Linked DNA regions of Styela clava. Each later gene encodes a partner of the first gene's protein in a complex. Links are inferred from orthologs where the notes say so. Each region holds a gene or a part of one and is shown on either strand. Other genes may lie near its edges.

Evidence for each region.
Region 2: the proteins of lysosomal dipeptide transporter MFSD1-like (region 1) and glycosylated lysosomal membrane protein A-like are in contact, whole or in part, in a cryo-EM structure (PDB 8R8Q), measured with the Mus musculus proteins. The link is inferred for Styela clava from reciprocal best matches to the Homo sapiens genes MFSD1 and GLMP. Residues at the interface, in NP_080089.1 of Mus musculus: Val288, Glu292, Lys293, Arg295, Phe349, Phe351, Leu411, Asp412, Lys414, Gly415, Tyr416, Leu417, Leu418, Val421, Ile424, Ser428, Leu432, Val435, Leu439; in NP_064387.1 of Mus musculus: Glu250, Asn252, Ser253, Ile254, Asp255, Asp256, Glu257, Pro260, Ala261, Phe263, Gln264, Arg292, Phe364, Leu367, Val368, Ile371, Met372, Ala375, Ala378, Leu381, Met382, Gly385, Phe389.

Annotation. Positions count from the first base shown.
Region 1 is NC_135255.1:10,307,400-10,314,737, forward strand, and holds lysosomal dipeptide transporter MFSD1-like, read left to right. Parts: upstream 1-4,282; 5' UTR 4,283-4,358; coding exon 4,359-5,879; 3' UTR 5,880-6,266; downstream 6,267-7,338. Other genes in the region: cyclin-C-like, read left to right, coding at 6,297-7,148. UniProt on the Homo sapiens protein: Lysosomal dipeptide uniporter that selectively exports lysine, arginine or histidine-containing dipeptides with a net positive charge from the lysosome lumen into the cytosol.
Region 2 is NC_135252.1:4,643,622-4,652,493, forward strand, and holds the start of glycosylated lysosomal membrane protein A-like, read right to left. Parts: upstream 3,474-8,872; 5' UTR 3,441-3,473; coding exon 3,336-3,440; intron 2,295-3,335; coding exon 2,202-2,294; intron 1,508-2,201; coding exon 1,286-1,507; intron 549-1,285; coding exon 423-548; intron 139-422; coding exon 1-138. Other genes in the region: ras GTPase-activating protein-binding protein 1-like, read right to left, coding at 5,780-7,234. UniProt on the Homo sapiens protein: Required to protect lysosomal transporter MFSD1 from lysosomal proteolysis and for MFSD1 lysosomal localization.

The DNA.
Region 1 (7,338 bases):
AATTTACTGCGACACCTTTGAGCTCGTTAATGCCATAATTATTTAACCGTTCCCATCCCGTAATCTGTTTGAGCTGAAATATATTGGGTTTTAAGTAGGAATTCTTAAACGAAATCTCGGCGGCTAAATGGTAATGCTATTGAGCAATATTTCTAGTTACTTATCGATCTTAAGATCGGTAAGTCTGTTAATAGATATTTGTCTGTTGGTTTGTTTCAGTATACAGGCGCGGCGATGTGGCTTAACGGGCTAAGCGTTAGGAATACGCTCGCCACCGCACCTCTAATTACTCTGCGTGGGTTCGCAGGTTCGAATCCCATGCAGGGATGGTTATGTGCGAGAGGATTGCTAGACTCCTCGCCGTCGTTGGGTGGTTCACGTAACCGCTGGTCGGTTACGGCTTCCTCCACCACCAAGTCCATGCTTCCGAAAACAAACAATACAGTAAAACTATTCCAATACCCGACTTGGAATGGTAACCGGACGAGAGGCCGTGGTTCGCCATATGGATGGTCTTATCGGCTTTCCTCCCCCCCCGGGATAAATATGTAAATCCTATCCTATCCTTTATGCTATTGCAGAGGCGTAGCTTAGGGGGGGCAGTGGGGTACATATGCCCCCGGGCGCCAAGGTACAGGGGCGCCAAAATGGGGCTTGCAAACATTTCACAAGGGTAAAAAAACGGTCACAAGCAAGATCGTTAGGTTCTTGCCTGCGCACTCCGATGTAAGTTGATATTAGTCCTGTGGTGGAGACAAATGGAAACGAAATTTGGTTGACTGATGTTAATACATGTTTTGAGTAATACGTGGTTTTGTATTTCGTTGTTGTCAAAATACCGTACTTTGCGGCAGAGTTACATAAAATATATTATACTGTGCTAAAAGACCCCAATGCTGTTTTCGACAATTCGTCGAGATTGCACAGATTTTGCAAATTTCTACGATACGGACATCAATGGCCGCGAACTTTTCACCGAAATTGGAGATTGCAGAATGCTGCTCAGTAACAGAACTGTAGGTCAACCAGAAACTCCTTTGGCTCTTGTTGGTTTTATTGTGTCTTCTGGAGACGACGTTTTACCCAATCTGCGAATTTCTCTACAATTTTTGTTAACAATACCAGTTTCAATTGCAAGCTGTGAACGGTCTTTCAGCAAATTGAAACTTATTTTGTCGTATTCGCGTGCATCAACGGGACAGGATCGTCTCAGTGATCTTGCACTTCTAAGTGTTGAAAGAGAAACAGATTTTGATGACGTGTTAACCAGTTTACGACAGTGAAATTGAAAAAAATGAATTTATTGTAGACTATGCAAATCATCTTTGACAGTAACTGAGTGGGACATATGCTCTATTTTGTATAGCTTTGCTTCTTCTTTAAATAAAATGTTCCATTAAAATTTGAATTTACATATACATATATTTTTGAATAAATAATAAAATATATAAATACATATAAATTTGAATTCACATATCGTCACGGTAATAACCGAATTGCGTAAGTCATTTTTGGCGGTTTTGAGTTTTTCATAAAATAGGTATTTATATAATGCTGCGCACCTGTCTGTTAACTCAGATTTTATTTTAAGAATTCCGAAACCCATAAAAATAGAGATTTTGTATAATATGCAAATTTGTTCAATTGCTCCGTCATAATGAATTATCTTTGTTAACGTAGGACTATTGTGACGTCACAAAGGCAAAATAACCTCGGCGAAGGATTTTCGAATTTTTGCATCTCAGATTCTAGCTTAGCTCCAATAATTTTGATTTTATACTACTGTATAGAAAGGCGTGCACTTGTGATATTCACTGTCTGAGTCCAATTCACCTTGGTTGACTTTTATATAAGGGTACATTGCTGTTTTATTCTTTATATTTAACTTTAGTCTTATTTCGGTGATGTGCAGAGCGTGTTATATTGATGAAATAAATATTTTTAAACATAAAAAATAATGTAATTGAAACAGATTAGCTATTTTGGGGATTTTGGATTGTTTGGTTTTCAGGACTGGTACATATAGTCAAGTTGCAAAATTGCGTATGTCCCCTAGTCATAGACACACTTTTGCCTAAGTCACAGTGCGCCATTATGACGTCACATGACTGCGTCATACAAATTAACTTAAATCCGGCTACGATCAAAAAGTTGAACTATGGCAAATTAATGGCATAGCAATATCATTAGGAAGTTTTTTTTACGTTTTTCTCAAAACAGCTAAAAATGACTTACGCAATTCGGTTGTTAGCGTGACGATATATAATTTGTTTTTACATATAAAATTAAATGCAATAGAAACATGATTAAACGTGGGGGTCGGGGCGCCAATTTTATATTTTGCCCCGGGCGCAAAATATGCTGGCTACGCCTCTGTGCTATTGGCATTGTAAATACTTCATTTCAATACAAAAATAATTTCCTTGTTGTAAGCGAAAAAGTCATGAATGAAAGGGTTAATTGTGGTCCATTTTAGCTTACCAGGCTTATCCATGGAATGGGAAACGTCCCATGGGATGAGACAACACACTTTGTATTTCTCATGAGACACTCATTTTTATATAAGATTATTGGAAGAATAGACACATGTTTCTACCGCTAAAAGATGATGCGAAAATTGTTCTGGCCGTACCAGTGTCATCTGCGGCAGTAGAGCGTTTATTTATGGGCCGACCAGTTTGTTTTTGCGCAATCTACGACAACGGATTTACCTTCTCTTCATATGTTCATATTCATGTTCATATTCATATGTATTGGGGGGAATGGGATTAAATTAAAAAATGATAAACAAAAACATGGAAACAAAAAAATATCTATTTATATATTTATAATAAAATGATTTGATACCAAAATATTAATACGAAAATTCCGTTTGGCATTGGAATTTATTTGGCACAAAAAAAAAAAAAAAAGGATTTACCTTCTCTTGTTATCACTCTGATTACATCAGATTTGCGTGTAAAATGAAAATATAGGAAATGGTTCGGAATCAGAACTCATCCGAATTAACAGAATTAGTAACAGTCGATGAACAGGAAATTAATGATTTGCAGTAGAACGAGAGTGTCATTCTGAATTGTCGTAGTTCAGTAGTTATCAGACACGGAGTGGACCTATGGATCGTTTTGTTATTATGTTGTTGTTCTTATTGTTGCTCTTCTTCTTGGCATTAGAATTTTTCTTCCTATCGTTATGAAAAAATCACCTTTCTCTTTACTTACTGGACCAAATGCATTTCATCCAAAATTTCGCTGTATTATTTTTTACCTTACTGCCTTATGCTGTTATGGGAACACGGTTTTAAAAACTGAATTAATTAGTACCGGTACCGGTAGTCTATATGGAGAAGGGGTGGGCAACATTTTTTAGTATAAAAGCCGCATGCAGCGAGTCAGAAATATGTGAGAGCCGCATAATTTTTGAAATTATTGATATTAGTGATCATTAAATCATTTTGCATTGTAACTGTTACATTGATACTAATTTGGATTTGGGCTATTGACTGCGACAACATCAGCAATATTTTTTTTCACAAAATACAGCCCCAGAGTATCGGTGTTTAGCATTTTAAATTTAAAATAAAAAACATGGAAACAAAGGACTGTGTTTTTAAAATAAAATGATTCGATTCCAAAATATCAATATGAAAATTCCCTTTGCCATTGGAATTTATTTGGCACAAAAAAAAAAGATACTACAGTACTAACCTAGGCCCTACTATTTCCGTGTAAACTCAGAAGAACACAAATTTTGGGATTGACATCACTGTATTAGGTCACACTGTCATAGGTTCGTCGCTTATAGCATTCAAACAATCTTTGGCAAAGCATCATTCTTTGCTATCTTAGATGTACTAGGCCCTACTTTATTATTGAAATACACCGGTGTGGCTCGCCGTGCCAAGCGTTAGGAATACGCTCTATGATCCACCGCATCTGATTACTCTGCGTGGGTTTGCAGGTTCGAATCCCATGCGAGTGAATCGCTGAACTCCTCGCTGTCGTAGGGTAGATCACGTAACCGCTGGTCTGTTACGGCTTCCCCCACCATCAAGTCCATGCTACCGGAAAAAAATAACTAATCCCATACCCAACCGACATGAAATTGTAAACGGACGAGAGGCAGTGGTTCGCCATATGGTTAAGTCATCTTATCAACTTTCCTCTCCCCCAGGAGAAATATGTAAATCCTATCCTATATCTGGATATGCATACAAATGCTGAAAGATTTCCAAAGCGATAGTCATAAGCTATAACAGTATAAAGCTCTACATCAATATATTAAGGTATTTTTACTTTTTAGATTAAATAATACAAAACTTTCTGAAATTTAAGACCTAACCTACCGGTATTATCATTATGGAAACTGATCCACTTGTTCGAAGACGTTCATCTGCTGCACCAGTTAAAGTAAAACCATGTGAAGTTGGAAATCCTCGTAGTTTGAGCCATCGTCTTATCATTATTGCTTTGATGTGTTTTCTAAGTTTTGGAAGTTATTTCTGCTACGACAATCCTGCTGCATTACATGATGAAATTGTGAATGATTTGGATGTAAGTGAAAGCACTTTTATGTCGCTTTATGCTTGGTATTCATGGCCAAATGTTGTCCTCTGTTTTTTTGGAGGATTTCTCCTAGATAGGGTTTTTGGTGTTCGCCTTGGCAGCCTCATTTTTAGCATGCTGGTTGTTATTGGGCAATTAATTTTTGCTACTGGAGCACTGGTACACAAAATATGGTTGATGGACCTAGGACGTTTCATATTTGGTATTGGTGGAGAATCATTAGCTGTCGCCCAAAATACATATGCTGTTCTCTGGTTTAAAGGAAAGGAATTAAACTTAGTGTTTGGTTTACAACTCAGCATGGCTCGGATTGGAAGCACCGTGAATATGAACCTTATGGTACCAATTTATGATATGGTTAATGAAAAAATGAAGGACCACAATAAAACCTTGGGTGTTTCTCTATTTATTGCTGCTCTGACTTGTTTGTTCTCGTTGACATGTGCAATTAGTTTGGCGTATTTAGACAAACGTGCTGAAAAAATATTGAATCGTAAAAAGAATGAAGCTGAAGAAGCTGTTAAACTAACGGATGTTAAAGACTTTTCAATTCAGTTATGGCTTGTATTTGCCATCTGTGTGGCTTATTATGTAGCAGTATTTCCTTTTATAGGTTTAGGAAAAACGTTTTTTCAAGAAAAGTTTGGATTTTCTTCATCGAGCGCAAGCGCAGTGAATAGTATTGTATATATCATGTCCGCACCTTGTTCACCGGTCCTAGGCTTTATTATTGATCGGGTTGGTCGTAATTTGTTCTGGATTTTATTTGCTGTTGTTTTAACTCTTGCAAGTCATGGTTTATTAGCATTTACCTTTATCAATCCATGGTTTGCCATGACGTTGATGGGATTTGCATATTCTGTGTTAGCATGTGCACTGTGGCCACTTGTAGCATTTTTAGTACCTGAGCATCAACTTGCCACAGCCTATGGCTTTATGCAATCAATACAAAACTTGGGTTTGGCTGTCATATCGCTTGCCGCTGGTAGTATTCTCGACAGTAAAGGATATTTCATGTTAGAGATATTTTTTTGTATGTGTATCAGTGTTGCTTTAATATCTGCTTTGCTTTTGTACATCATTGATTTTGGTCGTGAAAGTGGCCTGAATGCTTCTGCCAAAGAACAAAATGCAAAACGTGCTCTCGAAGAAGCAGCAGAAGAAATTGCAAATGCTTCTGTTGATATGCAACCAAGAATTAAACCAATGACTGCATTTGGTTTGAGAAATCGTTATTATTCAAGAATCGGTGCAATTATTCCTGAACACTTAGTTGCTCACACTAACGTGTCACATCACGGACATGATGAATAGAATTTTTTATTATATTTTGATTTTCTTCCATTTTTGATGAATTTTAATGCAATTATGTGTATCGTAATATTCCAATGTGATTACTGCATCATATCATGACACCTGTTATATTTTGCAGAACATTTTTTAATATAACAGTGCCCATATGTCTCATTGCTACAGATCTCCATCTCTGAAATAACAACCTCGAATTCCAAAATTTTTGTTTATGATTATTCATCTGTAATGCTTACATAGTTATACAAAATATCTCCTAAACTTTGTACTATTAGTTATACCGTACTTTTTCATGCATCAATTTACAAACCAATCTTGCCATTTGTTATGTAGCATTTTTCTGTGCTTCTATCATTGTGTCTTGTAAAAATTTATCATTTTTTTTATAGATTACCATCTAGCTCCTATTTTAAATCTGATATGGCTGGAAACTTCTGGCAGAGTTCTCATTGCAATCAATGGATACTTACGCCGCAAGATCTCACTCGAGAACGAGCAGCTGATTTCAAAGTTTTAACGGAAGTTGAATATAACAAAGTGATGATTTTTTATGCCAATGTAATCCAAGCAATTGGCGAACAATTAAAGCTACGCCAGCAAGTTATTGCTACGGCAACTGTTTATTTCAAAAGGTTTTATTGCAGACATCCATTACGAAGCTGTGACCCACTTCTTTTAGCTCCAACTTGCATTTTTCTTGCTGCGAAGGTGGAAGAGAGTGGCGTGGTATCAAATTCACGGCTTATTGCTGCAGTCGGAAGTGTCATCAAAAATAAATTTGGCCATGCGTTTCAAATGGATTATAACTACAGAATAACCAGTGTTTGGGAATGTGAATTTTTTCTCCTGGAATTAATGGATTGTTGTTTAATTGTGTATCACCCATATCGTCCATTATTACAATATGTTTCAGACATTGGACACGCTGATTTATTGTTACCAGTTGCTTGGCGTATTGTAAACGACACATATCGTACGGATGTCATATTGTTATATCCACCTTTTCAAATTGCTCTCGCATGCCTGCATATTGCATGTGTTATACAGAGTCAGTTAGAGGTTGCAAGACAATGGTTTGCAGATTTAAATGTTGATATGGAAAAAATTATTGAAATTACAAAAATTATATTACAACTTTATGATTTGTGGAAAAACTATAACGAAAAAGAAGAAATTTCTTCCATTTTAGAAAAAGTTCCTAAAGCTTGTGTCACACCAAGTGATTATAACAGAGATGATCGCATGGCTATAAAGGGTAAAGGAAAAGGGTAACCTTTGATTAAACTAAATTAAAGCTCGGTATCCGTTTTTCCATCAATAAGAGAGGTTCAAATTTTATATACGTTGCAAAGTATGGGTATATCTCAACTTCAAACAAGGCCATGTATCTGAAACAAATAGATGGACACAAGGGAGGGTCAAAGTTTATCTACGTTGCAAAGTATAGGCATGGCTCAACTTC
Region 2 (8,872 bases), on another chromosome or scaffold:
AACTTCCCATTCAGATGAGTTTGCGTTATGAGGTAACGATGGTAATATGTCAGATTGTCCATTTGACTTAAATGGAAAGAAATTGATAGACAAAGAACTGTTCATTGAAAAACTTTTTGGATATTTCAATGTTGTTCCCTGAAATAAATAACAGAATGTATGAAATATTTTAAAATTTTTTTAATTAATCTGAGGGAAAGTCCAATACAGTAATAATTATGAATTTTCAGAATAAAATTGACATTTTGACATCAGACAGTTAAACTGAAAACAGGCTAGCTTCTTACAAAATATATTGAAAATAGTAAATTATTCGGTAATCTTCAACTCTGAATCACAATTCAAAAACGTCATAAATGATGATTCAACAATCAACTTGCAAAACTGAGATAAACTGATTAAAGATGAACATACAAACATACTTTTAATGTTGCAGGCAATGACTCAGTGATGTTAACGTCCCACACCATGTCACTCAGCAAAATGGGTGTGAATTGCCAACTTGCATTAAAAACTGCTTCATCAGTAGAATCGTTGTATTCCAGCAACTAACATAAATAGAAAAATTAATAATTAGGAACATATATACATTATACACGTGCTTGAAACTATAGATTAGAATGGCATATTTCAATATCACTGAATAAATTCAGACAGCTGAAGCTTTTGAGTTTAGATTCCGAGATCACGACTCAGGTTCTATCCTTGATGTAGACCCCTGAAACACTGTTTAATTTGTAATGTAGACTTTTTATTGGGACTTGTTTTCAGTTGGATATATTTCATGATTGTAATTGTGCGGACTTCAAAAAAGAGAAATTTGTGGTACTCTCGTAGTATGTATGTGTACCAGGATTAGGCATATTTTATTCTGATATTCCTTATTTCAGTTCTATTACGAGTCGGGGACTGTTGGCCAAGTGAATATACCCCCTGCCCATAGGTTTCAGTCCATTTACACAACTTGATGTGAAGTAGACTAGGCAGACAAAATTAGTTATCTCCATATTGGTACACACACTTCTGGAGCACCAAATTTGTTTTGTATAATTTACATTACTGGTATAAGCAGCATTTGAATAATCATTCACCTATTGCAGAGATCGCACTACAGATGTGGAAACCTCATAACAAGCCGTCAGACTGTGGTATTAAACTTGGCTTAATTTTAGCTGAACATGACTTTTGATGGAACATGTCACATGACACTGAGCAGAGCAAGTAATTAATATTCAGTTAGACTTCTCCATCCTCCTGAATTTTGTTTTCAATAAAAAATATCTACCCTATCAAAAATGATGACATTTTCTACATCAACATCAACTTCTTCTGTGAGATTCTCGGATACAAGTTTGACAGATCCAAATGTATCTTCTAAATTTGGGAGCAGAAATTTTGTCCAGTTAACACTCAGTATTGCACTTTCGTCATTTGATCGTAGTAGGAGAATTGAGGGAGGCGATGGACCAACAGTTGATAAAATGTAATGTAGACTGTCATTCTCGCCCTGTTCGGAACAAAAAATGAGCATATTGGATAGGATAAGATTTACATATTTATCTTGGGGGTGAGGAAAGTCGATAAGACAGCCTAATCATATGGCGAACCATAACCCCTCGTCCGGTGACCAGTCAATGTTGGGTATGGGATTAGTTAGCCAGGTATATGTTTTCGGAAGAATGGACTTGATGGTGTGGGAAAGCTGTAACTGACCAGTGGTTACGTGGACCATCCTACGGCGAGCAATCCTCTCACACATAACAATCTCTGGATGGGTTTCAAACCTGCAAACCCTTGCAGGATAATCAGAGGTGTAGCCGCGAGTGTATTCCTAACGCTTAGCACGATGCGCCACACCGCCTGGCTGAAAAGGATTGGCTGAAAGTTATAATTGACAATGAATGTACAACATATAAAACATTTACTGACTAATTTATTATAAAATAAGTTTAGTTTAATGCCTACATTATCTTGTTAAGTCCAAAGTCAAGAATATTTCCTTTGACTAAAAATATGCTAGGCCTGCTAGTAACAAATCACCACTGCCACTAAAGCAAAGTACCATCGAGACAATTTTGATGCTTTTAATTCAGGAGAAATATTTATTGCAGAATATTTCGAAATACATTTACAGAAGTCAAAATTATACAAAAAATTGTATTGAGCAACCAACTCTATCAGAGATCACCAACTTATCATACCTGTGCTCTTGCATATATCAAATTGACCGTGGAATCTGTTGTTGTAGAATTGCACTCAATTATATTGCACCCAGGATTGTAAAACAGTTCAACCTGAACAAAATAAAGAAAACAGCATTTTTATAGTCCAATAAAATGATCCATAAATTAAAAAAATATTGACAAATATAAAAATACCAATAGCTGGGGAATAAATATTTTATAGTCAATCTCCAATTTTTTGCGTTTCTGAGAACATAGGTCACTTTCTTTGTAACTACTTAAACAAGTGGGTGCAGTGATTGAGGTATCGACTTCACCACCCCATCAAGGTTGTAATGAATTGGGTAAGCGATGCCAGATTTCTGTCCTTCCAAACTATAGCAGCTTGCTAGCTAGCTGTGGCTGCTTGTAAAGAGCTCGAAAACCATAGTATCAAGCAGAGCTTGAAACCAAAGTATCAAGCAGAGCTTGAAACCAAAGTATCAAGCTGAGCTTGAAACCAAAGTATCAAGCTGAGCTTGAAACCAAAGTATCAAGCAGAGCTTGAAACCAAAGCATCAAGCTCGAAAGTATTGCCAAAACCGAATACCCTACTACTCTAATTATATTCTGAAATACTATTTTCTAATATGGAATATACATATTTGAGGAGCAGTCTACATGCTCAACAGAGAACAAACAAAACCCAATGCCCCATATTCTTTATTAATAAGTAAGAATTTGAAACGCGAGAAAATTACCACAAATATACGTATATCAATGACCTGCAAATTGTTCGGAAAAAGAAAGAAGGCGATTCCCACCATACTCTGATCATCATTTAATTAAATTGGTACTTCTCATAACTACAGTTCTAAACTATTCAGCCATTTTGAAAAGCACTGAACATAATCAATTTAATTAATTAACTCATTCATGATCTACAAATAGCATGTTATAATACTTTTACAGAATATACATATTATATGCATTGCTGTAATATTTTTGAGAAATAGGTTACAAAACGAGATAGGAACAACATAAATGACACAAATAGTGAGGAAATTGTTTCTTGAATCATTGTTGCATACAGGAAAGTGGACAAAAATGGGTCGCAACACATTTAAAACTCCCAAAGAAGGTTAGGAACCAAAAAGTTGAAAAGTTTCTCACCTTTCTTTTAAAATCAGCCTTCTTTGCTAGAATTCCATCTTCAGATAAAATTGTCAATACAAATATTAAAATACTAAAAGCATTTGTGCTGTTAAACAGCACCATATTGAAATTGAAAACTGCAAAAAAAGATGAAATTTTTATTTCAAATCATTTTCAAAATATTACCATACCATAGGTTACCGGTTTCGAAAAACAAGATGCATACACAATCACTGAAGGCAACTATGAATTTCATTATCGAATCATGCTTTGTCGAACTTGACCAGTATTACAGTTTTTTCCAATAAACAAGGTTAACAAGCGAGTGCCCTAGGCTTTAGAATGATCCAAGCTTCAAATCTATTCAAAGCTATTTTTTTAAGTTTAGATGTCTGAATCTACTGCATTTTTCGAACATTTTTTTGACAAAAAATCATGAAATATCGTCACTTATAGAGAGAATTCTTTTTTTTAATTGAAAGACTAGTATTGCAAAACAGCAACACATTTAGATATGTCCTATCTGCTTACAAAAAGTTTATCATTGATAAATTGACATTTTTATTTGTGGTATATGAACTGAAGTTTCAAACACTATTACTAGTTCATTAGCAAATAGCTAAATTGAAATATACAGTAAATTGAAATCGAAATTTTGAAATTCATAGTTGCGGGAAAACAGCAAGCATTGATATAAAGTAAAAACTCATTTAATACCAGAGCATTACAGCACTATGCATGGCAAGTGAAAAATCAAGGATAAATTTCAAAAAAAAAATTGGTAGGATAACTTAACTTGCCAAGCATAATGTAATAATAACTCCACAGGTTTATAGCTTGAACATTGTATATAAAACGAGTCAATGGAGAAAGCTGTTCACCTTATTACATAATCCAGTTATGAAATCGTTATCAAAACAACATACTCCAGAAAAAGACTGAAAATTTGGTGTTACACTTTATCTAAGACCCGTAATCGGCAATATTGAAATAATCAACAGTTTCATCAAAGTGGGACAAAATACCTGGGAATGACTGACTTCATGTAAACATTAAGTTTTGCATTTAAGCTGATATAAATATACAGTTACTAGTCGAGTAACTAAGAAAATCTTACACGGAACATTAAAATCACATAACACCTCACATGTTTATAACGCTCGAGCATCGTGCCGGCGAAGACATCAATCAGTGTAACTTAGGTACAAATCGATTACACTTTTTGGAGAAGAAAACAAAGCCAAACAACACTCGAGTGCAAATTATTGTAGGAAAAAAATTTAATCGCTATCAACGACACCGTACAAAAATGGATAAAAAGCACACATAGGCCGCTCGAAGACAGAGAAAGTGAGAGAGAAATCGTTACTGTACTCCCGAGTAACACAGTGGGCCGGTAATATTAGTTATTGTCGGCAGATCAGTTGAAAATGAATAAGAATTAATGATAAAAATGCGAAAAGCGCACATTGTAAGACCTTGCGTAGTCAGAAAAATTCCTAACTCTAATTCAATAACAATAAGAAAATACCGTAAGTCAAATTATGAACCATTGGGCTAAGTAATTCTGACAATGCTCAAGCATCAAAGCATGTATGACAGTTATAATCAAATATTTATATCCTAAGAAAACTTTGGGAAAAAACACCTTTATTTCACTTACCAATTCATATGCAGACTTGGTATGGTTATACAATGAATTGTTTTAACAAAATTTATGTATTCCAAGTTCTTATACAGTTTTCGCTGAAACGTACTTTAAATAAGGCAAAAACAGAATTCATGTAATGATTTCAGGTCAATTGTATCGAATATTTGAACTAGGAAAAATGCAGAGAAAAATCAAAATCGAAAAACAGCATGTCATTTAGACAGAAACATTTCTAACTTTGCCGAAATTAGAAAACCAAAATCTATCACAATAAACAAGCCAATGAAATGAATTATCTGCATTAATTACAAAGTAATATTAGAGAACACGATACATGAACGGCGTCGATTTGTATATGAATTAAAGTCAAATGGACATCAAACATTTTATACAGATATCGAAGGACACTGAAAACAAATGAAACTGAAAGACAGGAAGGAAAGAAAATGCCAAGAGTCGCCCAGTCGGTATTCAAATCGCAAGAGTGTAGATAAGTAATCTACAAATCAAAATATTGGGTCTGACAACTGATTGCACTTTTGGCATTCCCTTGCCGGAACTCATAATAGTTATCACGGGGAAATTAGGTAGAAAAGATTGCTAGACGCTTGATACAATGTCTCGCTTGAAAGAGGTGCTGAATTTACAGTCTGAACAATAATAATAAATACACCAGAACAGATGGTATTAGCACAATTTCAACTGGTGGCAAAAAGGAAATAGTGATAAAGTCCAAGTATTTTAAACAGCTATCCTTTATAAGAAAACTGTGACTGAATTGTATACATTTTAGTAAATAGCTAGCAAATGATCACCGTCGACCAGGGAAATTATTAGGACGTTGACCTTCCCTTGACCCACCCCAGTCTCTTCGTGGTGGACCACGTTGTTGTAAACGACCACCGCGGTTATTATCTCGACCAGATTCCCACCGACCTGGACCGGGTCTTCGTCCACCATCGCGTGACATCGCTCTCTGCTTCTTTTCTTCGATGTTAATTCTCTTATTATTCTTGAATGTAGTCGGCATCAAACGTAGAACTTCCTCCACAGCTTTGTGATCTTCAAAGATTATGAAACCAAAGCTTGGATTGCTCGTATTCGAATGATTAATTCGAATTTCAACAATTTCACCATATTCAGAAAAGTGTTCACGCAGATCGGATTCCGTAATTTCCAGAGGAAGATTTCCAACAAAGATTTGCTGGTTATCGGGATAACGACTTTGACGTCGTCCGCCCGGATCTCCCATGCCTTCACCCGAACCATCTCGCTGTGAAGTCACCGGAGGTCTAGAACTACGAACTTGTTGCTTTTGCTGATCCATGGACGGGCCATCATTCGATTGGTTAACTTTAACAACGGTGCCTTGCTGAATGTTGTGCTGTGCTGGTGTATTTTTCGATGCCAGAGCAGCCCAAGAGTACGGTTGAACAGGTTCAGGTTCCTTATGTGGTACAGAATTCATGTTGTCTGTTGGTTCTGGTATATCTTTTTCTGCAGTTTCTTCCAATTGAGGTTCTTCATTCTCATTTGAGATGGGATAGACTGGAGATTCGTTACGAGGTTCAATGTCGACAGGTTCAGTATCTTGAGCGTGGTCAGATTCGGTTTCAGATTCAGGATGATTTGGGGGAGAAATTGCCAAAGCAGGAGAATCTTGATCATCAGAAGTGACAGGTTGAGAATCCAAACGAGGTTCCAGATCATTATTGATAATTTGAGCAGCCTGATTTTGAGAGCCAATATGGTTGTCAAATTGTGTTGGTTGGGGTGGTGGTTGTTGTACATTTACCTCCTCATCCAACTCTTGCTCTTCCTCAAGATGTTCCTGACGTCCTTCATCTTGATACACCTCATCTTCATAACGAAATATATCATTATGAACATAAAACTTGTATGGGTTATCCCCCTGGGGTGCCAAAACAAAGGTCTGCATAAACCTACGCAGAGGCTTGCGATTGTTGGAAAGCTCACCAATCACTTGTACCACAACCCCGTTGCTGATGGTAGCATGAGCGTCGACTTGGTATACTTTAGTATGGCATTCCTTGAATTGCAATGAAGTGATCTTCTTATGAATTGCCATCTGTCCAACAACCTCTTCTTCTGGCTCTCCATTGCAATACCGGCTTCCATGCACATAAGACGAATTCACTCCATAGAACCTGTGTAGTATTTCTGGTGCCTTGTTCAGAAGGGAATAATATTGGCGCACAAATTCCCTCCCTACCTGGAAAGGACTTGGATGATCCATTCTTACCATTTCTTGATGAAAGTTTCAGAGTTTGAAGCAAAATTAGTGTATGTGCACCAAATTTTTTTTGTTTTGTTCCTATTTTCAAATTAAAAAGAAAATAGATTAGGGTATGACTTCAGTCTTCAATATAAATTACAAACATTAAATGTTGTTGCCTAAATATGGATAAAGTGAAATCAGCAGGTAAAAATATCTAACACATTGATTTGATTGCATCTCAAGATTTTTCAAATTTTAAATGATCATTTAACTGGTGACCAGTAACTTTTGATTTCCACACATAGCTTTGTTTGCTAAGGTTCAGTTGAGAGTTATAAATAAAAATTTAATGAAATATAGGAATTATTGAATCAAGAAAACAAATGCAAAAACCTTCATCGAATTTAGTAAAATAGGAACACTGTACATAAGTAAGTGCACTTATTAACTACGTTTCGGTTCCTTATAATCGAGCTGAATATCTGATCAAATTTGTATTCTATTTGACAAATGATAACTAGTGCAAAATTTCATTTTGTGCAATGCAATGGCAGAGTTAAAGCCAAATTAAAAATAAAGGTATCGCAAAAAAGTTGTTAGAAGTGCATTTTATAAATTCGAGTTTTGGTTTAAATTCGCTTCATGAAAATTTAAAGGTAGGTCTCATATCGCTACACATTATGCAAATTGGCATTATGTAAATTGGAACATATTTGAAATCTAATTAATATTCAAGCGTTCATGAAAATATTAGTATTCTGAATTTACAGTTTTTTTCAATCCATGCATCTTCATTTGGAATAAAAATTATGTAAAGAGCGCTAACAGACTACAGGACTAAGTCAGTAAGTCTCAGGTTTGGGGGAAATAAAAATAGAGTTTGTATACAAAACCATCCGATCAATGCTCTATATAAAATGATTTTACTAAGTTCAGAAACATTTATGAAAAGCCATATTTTGAATGTCATTAGCTTACAAAATACAATCGGTACCATAGGGTGGTGTAGCCAGTCTGCGGACGATTTCATTCAAACCGCTATAAAACAAAAACCAATATTTCTAACCCGTTAATTTTTTCACCGTAGGTGCATTGGCATTTATTCTACACGCTGAACTTCGAATTAACTTTCTACGACCAGGGGTTAAGGCTATACAAACCACCAAAGTACGACACTCTGAAGACGTATTTGCGACCGAACGACCAGTGTGCGACCACGGATTTCAAGCCTTGAACATCGTTTCTGATGCGTCGAGACTAGGGCATACGCAGCCATGCGTGAAAAAATGGGCTTCTAATTGCATTTCTGACCGTCATATATTTTAAGAACACGGGTATTTCGAACAAAATTCTTCAAATTATAAACAAAGCACCGCATCACAGCAATCAAACAGACAAAAACACCGTGGTCGCAAATTAGTTGACAAAGATATTATTGACGTATTGGAAATGCGCACCCCCCTACTCCCCCTCCTTTGAAGGTAGAAACGCGAAACTTTAAAGATGGTTAAAAGAAACACAACTCTACCCACCTGCCAAGTTTCATCTCTTTATCTCTTAAATTTGTATGGATTTTCAACCTTTTTTGAAGGAACAATGGGTAGTTGGCGACATGGTAAAATGGTCCGTTTTTTTTCTTCGGTCAGGTTTTCGGTCGTAACTTTT